Linked DNA regions of Rhinolophus ferrumequinum. The protein of the gene in region 1 interacts with the protein of each later gene in a biochemical or structural test. Links are inferred from orthologs where the notes say so. Each region holds a gene or a part of one and is shown in the gene's direction. Other genes may lie near its edges. The genes, in order: PLAU and SERPINA5.

The links.
Region 2: the proteins of PLAU (region 1) and SERPINA5 form a complex in vitro, tested with the Homo sapiens proteins (2 studies listed by BioGRID). The link is inferred for Rhinolophus ferrumequinum from reciprocal best matches to the Homo sapiens genes PLAU and SERPINA5.

What each region holds. Positions count from the first base shown.
Region 1 is NC_046299.1:51,259,590-51,267,503, forward strand, and holds the start of PLAU (urokinase-type plasminogen activator), read left to right. Parts: upstream 1-4,776; 5' UTR 4,777-4,913; intron 4,914-5,224; 5' UTR 5,225-5,255; coding exon 5,256-5,312; intron 5,313-5,768; coding exon 5,769-5,802; intron 5,803-5,957; coding exon 5,958-6,065; intron 6,066-6,393; coding exon 6,394-6,568; intron 6,569-6,774; coding exon 6,775-6,866; intron 6,867-7,052; coding exon 7,053-7,269; intron 7,270-7,488; coding exon 7,489-7,637; intron 7,638-7,914. UniProt on the Homo sapiens protein: Specifically cleaves the zymogen plasminogen to form the active enzyme plasmin.
Region 2 is NC_046289.1:8,630,892-8,638,560, reverse strand, and holds the start of SERPINA5 (plasma serine protease inhibitor), read left to right. Parts: upstream 1-4,506; 5' UTR 4,507-4,625; exon of another isoform or gene 4,626-4,635; intron 4,636-7,669. UniProt on the Homo sapiens protein: Heparin-dependent serine protease inhibitor acting in body fluids and secretions. Inactivates serine proteases by binding irreversibly to their serine activation site. Involved in the regulation of intravascular and extravascular proteolytic activities.

The sequences.
Region 1 (7,914 bases):
TCTCATTTAATCCTCAATGAGGGAGATGCAATATCATTCCCACTTTATGAATAAGGAAACTGAGACTCTGAGAGCTACCTCATCACGCTGCCTTCAATCAGTGCTTGGAGCAAAGAAGTACTTTCTGCAGGTGGGTAGGAAGTAGGAAGACAAAGAGACTGAGGGTGAGATTGAGGGTGGTCAGGAAGGGAGAAGCAAAGATTCAGAATAGGAGTAGAGAGGGTGGAAATGTGTCATGAAGTTCTGCAAAATCGGTGAATTCTGAATCTCATCATTTTCAGTGAATGAACTCAGATGATTCACTTCCCTTTATTAGCCCTCTATTTTCCTCTCTGTGTAATAGAAAGGGAAGTGCTTGCACTTATTTTAAAGACCGAGAAGCACACAGAGTTTAGCTGGGGAAAGCCATGAACACATGAAATTATACATCATATGGGCTATGGATGTTATGTTGGTTTTCTTCTGAACAAATTTTTGAGAATACTGGCTCCTGGCTGAATGTATTTCCTTAAACGTCCTTGATTTCTTGGCAGTTTTCAGGAAACCCACCAGTTTCTGGTTTCCCATTCTAGCCTTTTGTTCCTGGGTATCTATCCCCTTTAGCTTCCAGTGACATCCAACATAATAGCCTGGGATCTAAGCAGAATTTCAAGAGCCTGGGCCTAGCTTTGGTTCCTGGTGGGACTCAGAATCCAGACGGTCTGGAACATCATGACCAACACTCCTTTCAGGTAGTGAGTTCTTGATTTATTAAGTAACTGGGTTTACGCTAAGGATAAGGAAAAATTTGGCCAAGCCTCAAAATATTCATTCAGAGGTCTGAGCTGACTGGCCTGGGTGGGGCTAGGAATTGGGTCAGAGATGGTGAGGCAGGAAAGGGTGAGAAAGGGTGGGTCAGGGGGCATAGGCTAAAGCTGTAGGGACCAACTCGGCCCCTCCGTTCATGATGTTATTGATGACAGAGTATAACTTCACGGTGCAGCCCCTGGGCTCTTTGCTTCCCATGAGTAAGGAAGCAGGTATGTGGCTTCCCCCACCCCACTCTTTCCACTGGCCACTGGGGGCCTAGCAGCTCCCCTATCATGTTACAGGCGGAAGACGGGGCTTTCAGTGCCTTCTGTGACAACAGCATCTTCCCCCTCAGCACTAAACACGTAGAGAAGGAGTCCTCAGACCTAAGGAAGCTCTGTGACCAGCATTCAGCGCCTCTTTCCCAGAACCGCAGAGGAGTCTGCCTTTCCCTTGTGCAGGAAGAAAGAGAAGAGTTTCTGGCCGCAGACACGGGAGAGGAGAGGGAGGGAGTAGGAATCCGGTCTGTGGGGTTGAGCTGCACATGCAGCTGGCGAGTTGCTGGGAACAGTTTACTAAGGACACAGCATCTCCACTTAACTTGAATCCTGGAATGGTACTCCAGAGAATGCACTGGTTTTCTGGGCCAGTATAGCCGTAATCAGGAAGGCAAGGCGTACACTGAGAGTAGGAATTATAGTTTATAAAGTTCATCCTTCCATCTCCAGCATCTAGAACTGTGCCTGGCACATCGTAGGCCCATGATAAGTATTGAATGAGTGAAAGAATAACGGAATGAAGGAACGCTTTCACCACACAAGCATGATCTCATTCGATCTGCAAAGTGAGGCACAGGTGGAGTAGGCTTTGCCTCATTTTGCAGATGGGGAACTGAGCTCAAGAGAATAAGTGTCTTGTCTGAGATCATTCAATTTGGACGTGACAGATCCAGAGCTATATACTGCACTCTCTCTATGGTACCACGCTGAACAGTCTTGGTACAGCAACTCAGCAACAAATCCGGTGACTGGACATTAACTTCCCTTTGGGTCATGCTGGCCAGAAAACAGCCCTTCAGGAGTCCAGTTTCCTGGACACAGTCTCGGCCAAATTCAGACCTCCTGGTCCTCCTTGCACACCTGGCATCTGCCTGTTCTTTAATGAGCAGCTCCAGGAAAGGGTGTCCCTCTCTTAGTCTCTGTTGCCACATCTGACGCAGGAGATCTGGATCCCTGAGGCACAGAGGCACGGGGCTGGTGGCTTTAGTCTGGGAGTCCAAACAGAATGAAATCACATATATTCAGTTCCTTATTCTCTCACTCTTGGTAGAAACTTCAGATAGCCTAAACCATCAAGTTAGTTCCTGGAACTCAGGCAAACAACTAACTCATGTAACAGCGAGGGCTTTCCAGGAGCTCAGAGCTCATAGCCTGAGGAGTGATTCTGGAAGGAGCTCTCCAAGGCCAGCGGGAGGTCTCCTCTGAATTTCAACATCTTATATCATCTGGAGCTTCTCTTCGCAGAATTCTGTGTTGTACCCCTCTCTTATGGAGGCGCTGAGGTATAGAGCACAGGAACGAGGATCAGAAAACCTGGGTCCTCGTGCTGGCTTTCCCACTCATCAACTATGTATCTTCTCTCCACCTCATTTTCCTCATCTGCAAAATGGGAAGAATGATCCCTAACATCATAAGGCAGTTATGAGTTTAAAGAGGAATGATTTGTGTCAAAGTGCTTTTCAGCACAAGACAGAAACGATGCCAGTACCATTTTTTATGGCAAGGAGAGGAAAAAAAAAAGATAGAGGACGGAAACTTCCAGCGTGCCCCAAAGCTCTCTGTTCCCACTTGTTCACTGATTCATTCATAATAAAGCACCTATGTGAGCAAGGGATGCACAAGTGCTGAGGGAGAGACAAAGATATTTAAGATGTAGTCTCTGCCCTCAAAGAATTGAAAGATGAGCAGAGACTGTGCACCAAAGGATGGACGGAGATTTCAGAGTGTGGGAAAGATCATAGTGGGGAGGAAGTTCTGTGACCGGTTGGAGGCTCTAGGATTGTTCAACCAGGTGACGAGGCCACAGGAGGAAGGAGGGGGGGAGGGGTGTCACACTCCATAACGGTCTCTTGGAGCCTCTTTGTTGGGGAGGAAATGAGGTCATCCTTCTCTCAAAAATCTGCATGACAGACTCCAAGTAATCTGGAGTCATGAGAGCTGCTGGGGAGCTCTGTGAATCATGGCAGACTGCTGGGAATTTCCTGATAACTAACCTAGGAGTTTCGGGGTAAGTCCTTAGGCTGCAACACCTCTGTTTACATTTTGGTCACGTTTATTTACAGTTAATGAGTTCTAAATCCAAACAAAACATGCCCAAGGCTGGTACTGAGACTTACAGAACCTCTGACTTAGTCAATCTGCTTGGTGGATGGCAGCTCAGCCAGGCACAAACTGTCTCTGGAGGATAATGGGTCATCTGCCTCCCCAAAGCTGGATGGTTAACTTGCACTTTCCCCAGGCAGAGGCTGGCATCCTCAGTCCTCTGACTGGAGCAGAGCAAAGAGGCTTTCCTCTTTCCTACCCTCCTGGCTCTCTCCTTGCCCTCCTCCTGCCCCTCCCAAGTGGATGCAGACCCAAAGTCCAGGTTTGCCAGGCTTCAAGATGCTATAGGCTTAGGTAGGGAGAGGGATCAAGCCTTGGGCCCCTAGTGAGTTGTAGGGACTCAGCCCCCACCCCTCCCATCAAGGGGGAGAATCCTGCTGGGTGGAATCTATGCCTGAGGGATATGTTCCAGTGCATATGCCCGAGTACAACTGTGTGCACTCACCCTGAGGCGGGAAGAGCAGGTTGAGTCATTTACACTTACACCGGGGTCTGTGTTTCTGGAGGCCAATCTTATTTGATAAGCAATTATTTTATCTTATTAGAAACAAGGCCCTGTGATGAAGTAGCACACTAAATACACGTACATTGGAAAATCTGTAATTATCTTTTTGGAATGGATGATGCAAAGATGTGTTTTTAAAATTTTAAACAGTGTGAAATAAATCTTCTCATTCTTGTCCTCCAGTTCCCCAGTTCCTCTCCTCAGAGGTCATAAAAAACGGACTACATTAATAAGGCTTTACTAGTCATTGTCTTTATTAACTAACTATACTCTAACCAATCCCCCCCGCAGATAAACATGTTGTTCACTAAAGGAACTTCCTGAAAGACCCATCAACACTTCAATAAAAAGCATCAACCGTGTGTGCCCTAAGACTGTGTTTGCACAGTCCTACAATATTGTGTCATGACCCTTATTCAATCCTTACCAAACCCTCACTTTCAAAGACCACCCTTAAACCAAACTCCAAATTCTCGATAAAATCCAACCTTGCCTTCCCTCCTGCCCCATATACTACTAAACTCCCCTAAGGTGGTAAGCAATCATCTCAGCTTTGTCTTATCCACTTGTTGGGTTGATAATTTTTAGGGAGCGGGCATTCGACAGAAGCAGCCCCCTCCCCGTTAGCAGGTTTTTTTTTGGTCTGTTTTCAGCGAGCGTGTGTCACGCGGATTTTCCCATTGAGAAAAAGACTTCACAGCTGTATGAGCTGCGGACCATGTCCCTGCACCCAGGTTTCTCATTCATTCTCCCAGGCAGTTGTGGGAGGAGGGTTGAAAGGATGGAGAAGAGCTGATTTAGGGGATCTGGGGGAGGCATCAGAGCTGGACCAGGGAGAGAGTGCCGGGCGCCTCTCCACTCCGCACTTGGGTGGGTGAGTGGGTGGGCTGCATTGGAGCCCAGGCCCGGTGAATGGGAGGAGTGGCGGGGAATCTAGTTGTCTCCCTTAATCTCTCAGTTCGTTCCCTCCGCTGGGGACCGTGCAGCTCCTCGTCCTCAGTCTAGCTGAGGAACCACGCAGGGTCGGGGTCGCAGCCGGCTCCAGGGAAGGGGAGGGCAAGGGAGTGGACTGGGCGATCCCGGGGCGGGGCCAGGGCGTGGGCGGTTCTTAATAAACAGCCCGCGAGCCGGGCTAGCAGCACAGTGCAGAGACTGGAGCCCCAGAACCTCGCCGAGAGTCAGCGTTGTCAACCTGTCCCCGGTGTCCCGGCCACGCGCCCCTCCCGCCGCAGCCGCCGGTGAGTGCAGGCCGCCCTAAGAGCGCTGGGCGGAGGAGCGGCGGCTCGCGCTCTCGCAGACTTCCCTTCCCCCTACCCGGCTGCTCCAGCAGTGCAGCGGCTGCGCGCCGAGTCGCCTCTCCGCGTGTCCTTGCGTCCCCGTGGGGGTGCCGGTCCAGGCTGTCCCGGGACCCCTGAACCCCCAGAGAGGAGAGACGACCGCGGGCTCGCCCTTCAGGTGACCTGGTAGCTCCTGCCCTGAACTGCAGTAACCCACCCGGCCCGCCTTCTTGCTCCTCTGCTTCTTCCCCTGACTTCTCTTTCCCTTGCAGAACCGCTGTCTAGAGCCCCAGCCTCTCCACCATGACACTCCTACTGGTGTGCCTGTTCCTTTGTGCCCAGGTCGTGAGCAACTCTGAAGTGAGTGGCTTCTCTGCTTTGACTTATGGAGGCTGGAGGGGGCTTGCAGGACCCCTGAACAGCGCCTGGGAAAGGAGGGGGCAGCATAAGAAGCTGGGGTTCCCTGGATTCCATCAACAGCAGGGCCAGACCCCTCTGGGGGAATAGGACAGGTGTGGCAGTGGGGGCCTTGAGAACCAAGGGAGTTAACACTTGGCAGCAAGGGAGGAAGAAGCTGCTGGGACTGCCCCAGCCTGCTGGCATCTGATACGTGAGGCTTGCTTGAGTCAATCCATTTCTCCTTGCTGGAAATCTATGATCTTCCATTGAGGGCTAGTTAGATGTGAACAGGATGGGGAAGAGAGAGAGAGCTGGAGGAAAGATGAGTTTGGGGATTGGGGCCAGTTTATCCTCACCCTGGAGTCCCAGGAGCAAGGTACCCTTGGTAAACTTTCCCTCTACCTCCATCTTTTCCAGGGCAGCCAGGACCTTCAACGAGTATCTGGTACATGTGAGTATCCACCCCTTGCACAATATCTGGCTGCACAAATATCTTGGAAAAGCCTCAGGAGACAGCCCATCCCTGTCCCTGATGCAGGGCTGGCTCTACCCTTGCCTCCTCCCACTCTCCTTGCTTACCCGCCCCCCCTCCTTTGTGTTTTTCAGTGAACTGTGGCTGTCTGAATGGAGGAACATGTGTGTCCTACAAGTACTTCTCTAACATTCAGCGATGCAACTGCCCAAAGAAATTCCAAGGGGAGCATTGTGAGATAGGTATGGAGATCCTGCCTTTAACTGGGAGGGGGTTGCACCAGAGATTTGGGGGCGAGGAGAGATGAGTGGGATGCCAGAGCAGGCAGGAGTTAAGAGCTGAAGGTGGAGTGGGGGACCTTTTCATCCCCATGTGATATACATAGTCAAGCCTAAACACACATTGTCTCGAGAAGCTGTGGCTGCACAAATGTGAGGTGGGATGGAAGGAGACCCTTTCTAGTGTTTTCTGCAAGACCTGAAATTATGTGAGGTTTGGTAGGATCTCTGAAATGCCTGTCTGAACTTCCTCCTCTTTCTGACATTCTCTCATCCTCATACCCTTCCGTAGATACATCGAATACCTGCTATCAGGGGAATGGTCAATCTTACCGAGGGAAGGCCAACACCGACTATAAGTCCCGGCCCTGCCTGGCCTGGAACTCTGCCAATGTCCTTCTGAAACCGTACCATGCCCAAAGACCTGATGCCCTTCAGCTGGGCCTGGGGAAACACAATTACTGCAGGTGAGGTGGGGGCAGCAAGGACCTTCCCCATGACTTCACAGAAGCCCTTATTACCATTCCCTTCTACTTCCAGAGTGCTGGCCATAGCATGAGAAAAGCAAGGCCTCTGGTTGGGTCTTCCTTGGAGGGGAGGATGCAGGAAGGATGCAGGGGAGAATGTCATTCTGTGTTGAAAAAACACCCCCACCCCTCCCCTCTGTTGCCAGGAACCCAAACAACCACAGAATGCCCTGGTGCTATGTGCAGGTTGGCCTAAAGCAGTTCGCCCAAGAGTGCATGTTGCCCGACTGCTCTTATGGTGAGTATCACAGACCTGGTTATGATGGTGAGGTGGGAGGGGACAAACTCATGTCCCCTTATTCCATCACAGGAGCGGTGAGGAGGGAGGCCAGTCTGGCCTCCAAAAACTGGGAGGTCGGAGGATGAGGAGAGGGACACTTTATCCTACCTGCCTCCCTAAGACATTCCTTTCTTTCTCCTCCAGGGAGAAGTCCCTTTTCCCCTGAAAAAGCAGAGTTTCAGTGTGGCCAGAAGGCTTTGAGGCCCCGCTTTAAGATTGTCGGGGGAGAAACCACCTCCATTGAGAACCAGCCTTGGTTTGCAGCCATCTATAGGAGGCACCGTGGAGGCTCTGTCACCTATGTGTGCGGTGGCAGCCTCATCAGTCCTTGCTGGGTGCTCAGTGCCACACACTGCTTCATGTACGTCCCTCTGTCTCTTCTTCCTCACCTTCCCGCCCTACTGCATATTCCCTTTCTCCGTCCCAGCAAAGGATTCCACTTCAATTCTCCCCTCTTAGCCCCTCTCCGTGTGGCCCATGACCTTGGAGACAAGTCATGCTCTGAGGTCACTGCGGTGGGGAGGGGGAAGTGACAGGATCTCATGAGATCAGACTGTCTGACAGGTCTCCCCTCCCACAGTAATTACCAAAAGAAGGAGGACTACATTGTCTACCTGGGTCGGTCAAATCTTAACTCCGCTACACCTGGGGAGATGAGGTTTAGGGTGGAAAAGCTCATCTTGCACGAGGACTACAGTGCTGACACACTTGCTCACCACAACGATATTGGTAAGTGGAAAACCTTCACCTTCCGTCATGATGATGGCTGGGGAAAGGGGCTCAAGACGAGAAGTGGGAGGTTGAGGTTGTATTGGAACTTGAAAAGACTATTTTACAAAGGGAGAGGTGGGGAAGGGTTCAGAATAACATATATGAGGAGCCTGTGCTCCTCTGTAGAGTCCCTGAATTTCCAACAGGTCGCTTCCTCCGGTGGCAGTGGCCCTATGGACAGATGGCTTGGGCTGGGATCCCCCTTCCTTTGTTGGAGGCAGACTTTGTCCCCAGA
Region 2 (7,669 bases), on another chromosome or scaffold:
CAGAAATTTATGTCTCACAGCTCTGGAGGCCGGAAGTCCAAGATCACGGAGTGGGCAGGACAGGTTCCTTCTGAGACGGGGAGGGACCCCCTGCCCCAGGCTCTCCCCCAGCTCCTGGTGTGGCTGGCAGTCTTCAGTGCTCCTCTGCCTTCCTCTCACATGGCGTTCTCCCAGAGTGTGTGTCTGTGTCCAGATTTCCCCTTTTATAAGGACAGCAGTCATACTGGATTAGGGCCCACCCTTCTCTACAACGGCCTCATCTTAACTAATTACATCAGCGGTGACCCCGTTTCCAAATAAAGTCACCTTCTGAGGCACTGAGGGTTAGAACTTCATTATGATGCCATGGGCTGCCGCTCTGTGCCTCAGTTCCCTCACCTATAAAATAGCGATAATCCCACCTAATGTATCACTACGGGGATGGTGCGCTTTGTTTTTCTTCATATCAGTGGAAAAATAAATCGATTATGACCCATCTGGTCCATTTAATATTCTGACCCCTGGCCCATCCCGTGCTCTCATCCCCATTGTGATGGACTGAATTGTGTCCCCCCAAAATTCATATGTTGAAGCCCAAACCCTAATGAGATTATATTTGGATACAGGGACTTTAGGGAAATAAATAAAGTTAAATGAGGTTATAAGGGTGGGGCCCTAATCCCATAGGACTGGTGTCCTTAGAAGAGGACGAGACCCCAGAGCTCGATCTCTCTCTCTCTCTCCCCCTCCCCCACCTCTTCCCGTGTGCACAAAAGGCCATATGAGGACACAGCAAGAAGAGTCCATCTATAGCCCAGGAAGACAGATCTCACCAGAAACCAACGCTGACATCACCTTAATCTTGGACTTCTAGCCTCTAGAACTATGAGAAATAAATTCCTCTGGCTAAGTCTGAAGAAAAGACTGAAGAGAGACATTATTGTCAAGCTGCCAAATTACCAAAATCAGGTAGATTGAGATATGAGGAACTGATTCTATTCTTTTTTTTTTTAACTAGCCTGGGAACTTAAAAACATCTGAACTTTCCAGTCCTGTATTCGTGCCTGGACATAGATCAGACCTCCAGATAACCCTCTGAAGACTCCCTAAAGGGCTAAGGAAAGAATGCTCAGTTATCAAGACCACCTGACATCCAGTACCCAGACCACCTGACATCTAGTACCAAGACCACCTGACATCTAGTACCCAGACCACCTGACATCCAGTATTCAGTCTGACTGACATCTAGTACCCAGACCACCTGACATCTAGTACCCAGACCACCTGACATCCAGTACCCAGACCACCTGACATCCAGTATTCAGTCTGACTGACATCTAGTACCCAGACCACCTGACATCCAGTACCCAGACCACCTGACATCTAGTACCCAGACCACCTGACATCCAGTATTCAGTCTGACTGACATCTAGTACCCAGACCACCTGACATCCAGTACCCAGACCACCTGACATCCAGTACCCAGACCACCTGACATCTAGTACCCAGACCACCTAACATCCAGTACCCAGAACACCTGACATCTAGTACCCAGACCACCTGACATCCAGTACCCAGACCACCTGACATCCAGTACCCAGACCACCTGACATCTAGTACCCAGACCACCTGACATCCAGTACCCAGACCACCTGACATCCAGTACCCAGACCACCTGACATCCAGTACCCAGACCACCTGACATCTAGTACCCAGACCACCTGACATCCAGTTCCCAGACCACTGGTCCTCTGGAGGATGACCATCTGGGACCAATCCAGAGGCTCATTGTGGAGGACAGATTCATCTCAAGAACATAATTTTTTCTATAAGAACTCTTAGCTTTTCTTTCTTCTTCAGAACACTCTGGATATTGCCTAGTTGTGTTCGTTTATAGTTTGCAAATCCTAAATCCCTTGAAAAATTATTTATCACTTATTTCTAGCCAAAGCCTCCAGACTCTTTGTGAGTTTGTTCAACAAGCCACCCAGTCTGTGGTAGTTTGTTATGGCAGCTCTAGCAGACTAAAGCACGAGGGCATCATGTTCTAAGAAGCCCTCAAACCTCTCCCTTCAAAATTTACCCATCCTCCACCCCCATTCCTTCAGAACCCTTTCTGAGTAGCAATGTGGAGTCAGGGGTTGCTACAGACATCCCCCCAAATTTGAGACATTCCTTAAAATGCAAGCTTGGAGACACGAATAGCACACACAGACTGGAGAAGCCTTTTAGTATCTTGGTTACTCCCATCTTCCCCAAGTATTTCAGCTGGGACATATTCTGGGCTATTGTTCTGGTTTCCTGTTGCTGCTGCAACAAATTATGATGAAGTTAGTGGCTTCAAACAACACAGATTTATTTTCTTACAGTTCTGGAGGCCACAAGTCAAAATAGGTCTCACAGAGCCACCATCAAGAAGTTGACAGGGCTTTCTTCAGGCATTCGTTGGCCATGGCTTCACATCACATTGTCTGTTCTCCTGTTTCCATGACCACATTGCTTCCTTCTGGCTCTGACCTCCCACCGCTCTCTTATAAGGATGCTTGTGATCACATTTAGGACCCACCTGAGTAATCTGTGATAATCCCCAAGATCTTAACTTAGTTATATCTGCAAAGTGCCTTTTGTCGTATAAAGTAGCATTCACAGGTTTCAGATATCAGGACATGGCCATCTTGGGGGTGGGGGCTAGTCTCCATTCTACCACAGGTGTGTAATAATGATTTCCATCCTATAGAACAGGGGTGTCCAAACTGCGGCCCACGGGCCAACTTTGGTCCGCAATCCATTGTTAATTGGCCCGCAGCAAATTCCAAAACTATATTTAGTTTACTTAAATAAACCAGGTGAGGCAATACGTACTTCACCTCGAGTGAGTGGCCCGGCTGTTTGTGTATTCTACCGCATATGGCCCTTGGTGAAAAATGTTGAAAAAAGTTTGGACACCCCTGGTATAGAACATAGTTTAGGAATCTCTACGTTATGAGATAAAGGATTCTTGCTTATGTCACATGGCACAATAGCAACAAAGCAAAACCTAGGCAGAAGGGACCCAGCTACCCCCTTGCTAGTGCCTTTCCTCATTAGCTGTGTGCTGATTACCTAGAGTGGTTGGGCTGATTACCTAACCACTCTCAGCTTCCACCTTCTCACTGACTTGGTGCGGATGCTAGTACCCACCTTCCAGGGCCTCGTGAACACAAAGCAGGCACTCAATACCTGGTAGGGACTGTGTTTGTTTCTAGACTGAGGCAGTGCTGAGGATCCCCTTTGTAGCATTGTTGTAAGCATTCAAAGAGAAAATGGGCCATAAACAGACCCTAAAATCATGGAGAAAGAAAGGGAACTGTCTCAGAGGTTGTAGAGAGACCCTGTGTTGCTGAGCATCAAGAGCCTTTCCCTTGGGAAATGCCTGGTCCTCTGTCTCCTCTGCCAACTGCACACCCCACTTGCACCCCCACAACCTTCTGGATCATGGCTACACACAGTGCACCCCAGTATTAGGAAGTCCCTAGGAATGAAGGGTTGAGTCGGCATCAGCATCGTGGAAATACTCTTGAAAGTGTGGGGCTGAGTTCAGGAGCTCCACTTTCAAGGTAGAAAAGGACAGTCGAGCTGACCCCACAGAGATCTTAGCCCTTTTTTAAGCAAAGAGCACTGACCTTGAAGTCGGAAGCTTGGACACTCAGCCCCACTCTATCCCTGCTTTGATGCAGGACTCTGAAAAATCCCTTCATCATTCTGAGCCTCAGTTCAGTTGCTGGCGCAAGAACGGGGGGTTGTTCCAATGATCCCTTCTTTTCAGTCATCGTGAGACTCTCTGGACCCCTCTAATTTCCACGAGAATCTGGCTGGTGGGTCCATGAACACAGTAAGCACGTAGGCCTGTGGGGAGCTTGAATTCATATGCCACTCCCCAGATCTACAGCAAATTGACTGCAGGAAACAAAGGTATCAGCCTGGCGAAAGGGCGGTCGGCCAGAGGGTGTCCCTTTCTCTGTGTCTGGAATGCTGGCAGCTGGTTGCCTGTCTAGCCTCTTCTCCCAGGAGTTCCTGTGCCACTGCAGGCAAATGGTGTCTGAAGCCACCACCTTAAATACCACCTTCAGCTAAAGACAAAACAAAATGTTGGGGTTGGGAGGGGGGTCAGTTATGGAACGGTGACCAGGAAAAGCACAGGAAACAGGGGTCAGGTCGTTGTGCAGGTTTCAGTCCAGGCCGTCTCCATCAGGCCTGGTACGTTCCAAGTGTAAATGTCCTTTCACAAAGGGGAACTTCTAAGTGGGTTTCAAGGCTTCTCCCCAGACTGCCATGTCTTAAAATTAACCAGCTTAGAATAATCAATATCCCCAAAGGGGCATATGTTAGGGTGGCCAACTCTGCTCCCCTTCAGGGGCTTGCAGGGCAGTGGGCGGGTGGCCCTGGTCAGAGCTCAGGTGGCTTTGCCCACAGCCTAATTGTTGGCTGGAAGCCGGCTACAACAGGACAGGGCAGGGCTGGCTGGGGCGGGGCCAGGGAGGGGTGGAGTCAGGTCCCTGCTGTGGTCAGTGGCAAAAGCTGGCTCCACTCTAGCCAGCCGGCTGCGCTTTCCAGAGCCCCACAGACCATTGTGCCTCCACTGTGTGCATACTGGGCCACGGGACAGAGTAAGTACAGGTACTGCCGACAGAGGACCTGTGGGTATGAGTGTGTGTGAGGAGGGCTGAGAAATGGACTCTGGAGTTATGGGGTTTGGAGGGCTTGAAAGCTTTGGAGGTGTCCCAGAGTGAGCCGGAAAAACTCCCCGCAGTGCTGAGGAAAGAGTCAGCCTCTGAGACGGCAGAGGTGACCTTGGGCACAGCAGGAAACCTAGCTAAGCCTCAGTTTCCTTATAGGTAAGATGCAACGTACTGCACCTCTGCAAGGTGTGACTGAAGATTAAGTAAGGTGATGGTTCTCACCCAGGCATGATTTTATCCCCACGGCACATCTGGCCGAGGCTGGAAAGATCTTGAGTTGTCACAACTGGAGGCGTCCAGTTGGCGTCCAGTGAGTAGAGACCAGAGAGGCTGCTAAACATCCTACAATGAGCAGGACAGTCCACTGCCACCCCCACGACAGGGAATGATGCAGCTCCAAATGCCAACAGTGCTGAGGCTGAGGAAGCTTAAGGAAGTGGGGACAAATATCTGGTACACGGGGTGCTCCGTAAAGCATTGCTTGCGTTGTTCTCTGTGCCTGGAATTGCTATCCTTTAGAGAGCAGGAGAAATGATCAACGATAATGTTTCCCTAAGATAAGGCCACCCCGTCTGGGGCCTGCCACCCAGTGTGCTCCTCGGCAGCTGCTCCAGCTCCAGAAGCTTTTTGGCCATTTGTTAAGTAAACAAAACAGAAATATAAAATGAGTGGAATTTTTAGTTTTTCTAAGGATGAGGCTCTTGGCAAGAAATGCAACAGTAAAGGGAAACTGCTCCCCTGGCCAATATCCTCCTTCACAGTCAAGACTAGGCAACACAGTGGAAGTTTGGCAGGTGATGGATGCGTTTATGGTGGTGATGGTTTCACGGATGTATACTTACCTCCAAACTCATCAGGTTGTACACATGAAATCCTACTTTAATGAAGTGGTATTTAAAAAGAAAAAGACAGGAAACTGCGTCTGAGCAGCAGGGGGAGTTATTCAAGGTCACCTGTCGAGTTAGCCCCAGGGCCGCTGGAGCTCAGCTCTGGAAGCCCCGCCTGGCTGTGTTTCTAACATGTGGTCCGACACCTCTGAATTACAGAGAATGAGACGGGTTCATTCACTCATTCATTCATTCATTCCACAAAGGTAGCGGAGCACCACCCCTTGACTGCAGGGAGGACAGATGAGGGGCCTTTCTATTGTGAACACGTATCCTAGTGGGTGAGACAAGTTGGAACAAAAGAGGCCAACAACAAATGCATATGTAATTGTGCTTATATAATTGACTGAAAGATAAAAGAAACAATGAAGGGGCCAGTGGAGAGGGAGGACCAAGCATGAAGAGGGTGTCAAGGGGAAAACTTTCCAGCATCAGCCTGAGGCCTGCAGGGATGCTAGCCCTGGTGAGAAAGGTGGAGAGAGGGTTCCAGCAGCATGTGCAAAGGCCCAGGGGCTTGCTGTGTTTGAGGCAATGAAAAAAGAAGTGCGCCCAGAGGACCCACACAACTGAGGGCAGAGCAGGTCAAGTTGAGGCTGGTGAGAGCTGGGCAGAGCCCGGCGGCATGGGGCTCCGTGCGTTGTTGCACAAATCAGAGTTAGATTTTACCCTGCAATGAATGGGCAGCAACAGTATTCTTAGGCAGCGGAGCACTGTGACTTTGTGAATGAAGGCGATTCTTTCAGATGCTTTGTAGAATGGCTCATGGGGACAGGAGAAGTGGGGCGATCCAGGTAAAAGATGGAAGGAGCTTCCATTAAGGTAGTGGCTGGAAAACTGGGGAGAAGCAGGCAGATTTAAGACACACTTTGGAGCTAGAAACTGACAAGCCTTGCTGATGGTCTGAAGATGGCGGGGTTAGGAAAGTTCCCTAGACCACAGCTCGCAGGAAGCTCTGCCCCTGGCTCTTTAGGTCCCAAGGGAAGTTGGGTTTTTGTCTCTCTGCCGGGGCTCCATCTTACATGTATTTTTGTAATTAGCAGATTGTGGACACACCCACCTCAGCCACACAACTCCGGCAGCTGAGTCCAAAATTGACCTGGATGGGAGTTTGTTATCTAGCATTTAAAATGAATGACAGCAGATTTGGGGTCCATGGATGTTAGGGGAGCAGTGGGAGGTCTGCCCAGGGCCTGCCCACCCCCAGCTGACTCAAGTCCCTTTGGCCTGGTGAGAAAGGTGGAGAGAGGGTTCCAGCAGAGAGCAGAATGTGCAAGGGCCCTGGGCTCAGCTGGGGCTTTCTGTGCTTGAGGCAGTGAAAAAGGAAGTGTGCCCAAAGGATGCACGCAACTGAGGGCACCGCTTGAGTGCTCCGCTCCCTTCCCTTTGACATGTGAGGGCATTTCTGCAGAAACACTGACTTTAGGGACCCAGGAGAGAGTCAGCCAAGTCAGGCTTTGCTTCAAATGGGAGGCCAACTGAGTGCCGCCTGTGCAGCTCAGCCAATAGACTGACACAGGAGTTGGCTATAAGAATGAGTGTTTATTATCAGAGCACCCGTGGTCTGAAGAGGCAGTGGGTTAACACATCCAAAAACTGCCTTAACATCCTCCGACTGGCTTGGGGTATCCAAGGGAAATCTGGACGTTAAGCTACGTGATGGGGGTTGGGGTGGGGGGTTCTGCTTGGAGCCTTCCCTCTGGCCAGGCGATTCTCTGGTGAGGTCAGCAACCCAGGAACAATGATGGGAGTATCCTGGAAAGAATACTAGACCATAGAGATTGTGGTCAATAAGCCTAAGGGTGTTAACGGTAAGTGTCAGGGTGATTTTATGAAACAGGGAACTGGGTGGGACAGGGGTCATTCTGAGCTCTACCATCAGGGGGATGTTCCGTTGTTAAGCTATAGGGAGGTCAAGGAAAGGTGAGGCCAGGGACACCCGAAAGGCATCTACTATGGGGGTGCCAACCGGGCCTTGTTTCAATTCCCCCCGGTATTTTATTCATTTTTATAAAATTAGCATAGTTGTGAGGGGAAGGGACAAAGACTGTTCTTGGCTGCTACCTGCATAGTATGGGCGATGTCCTG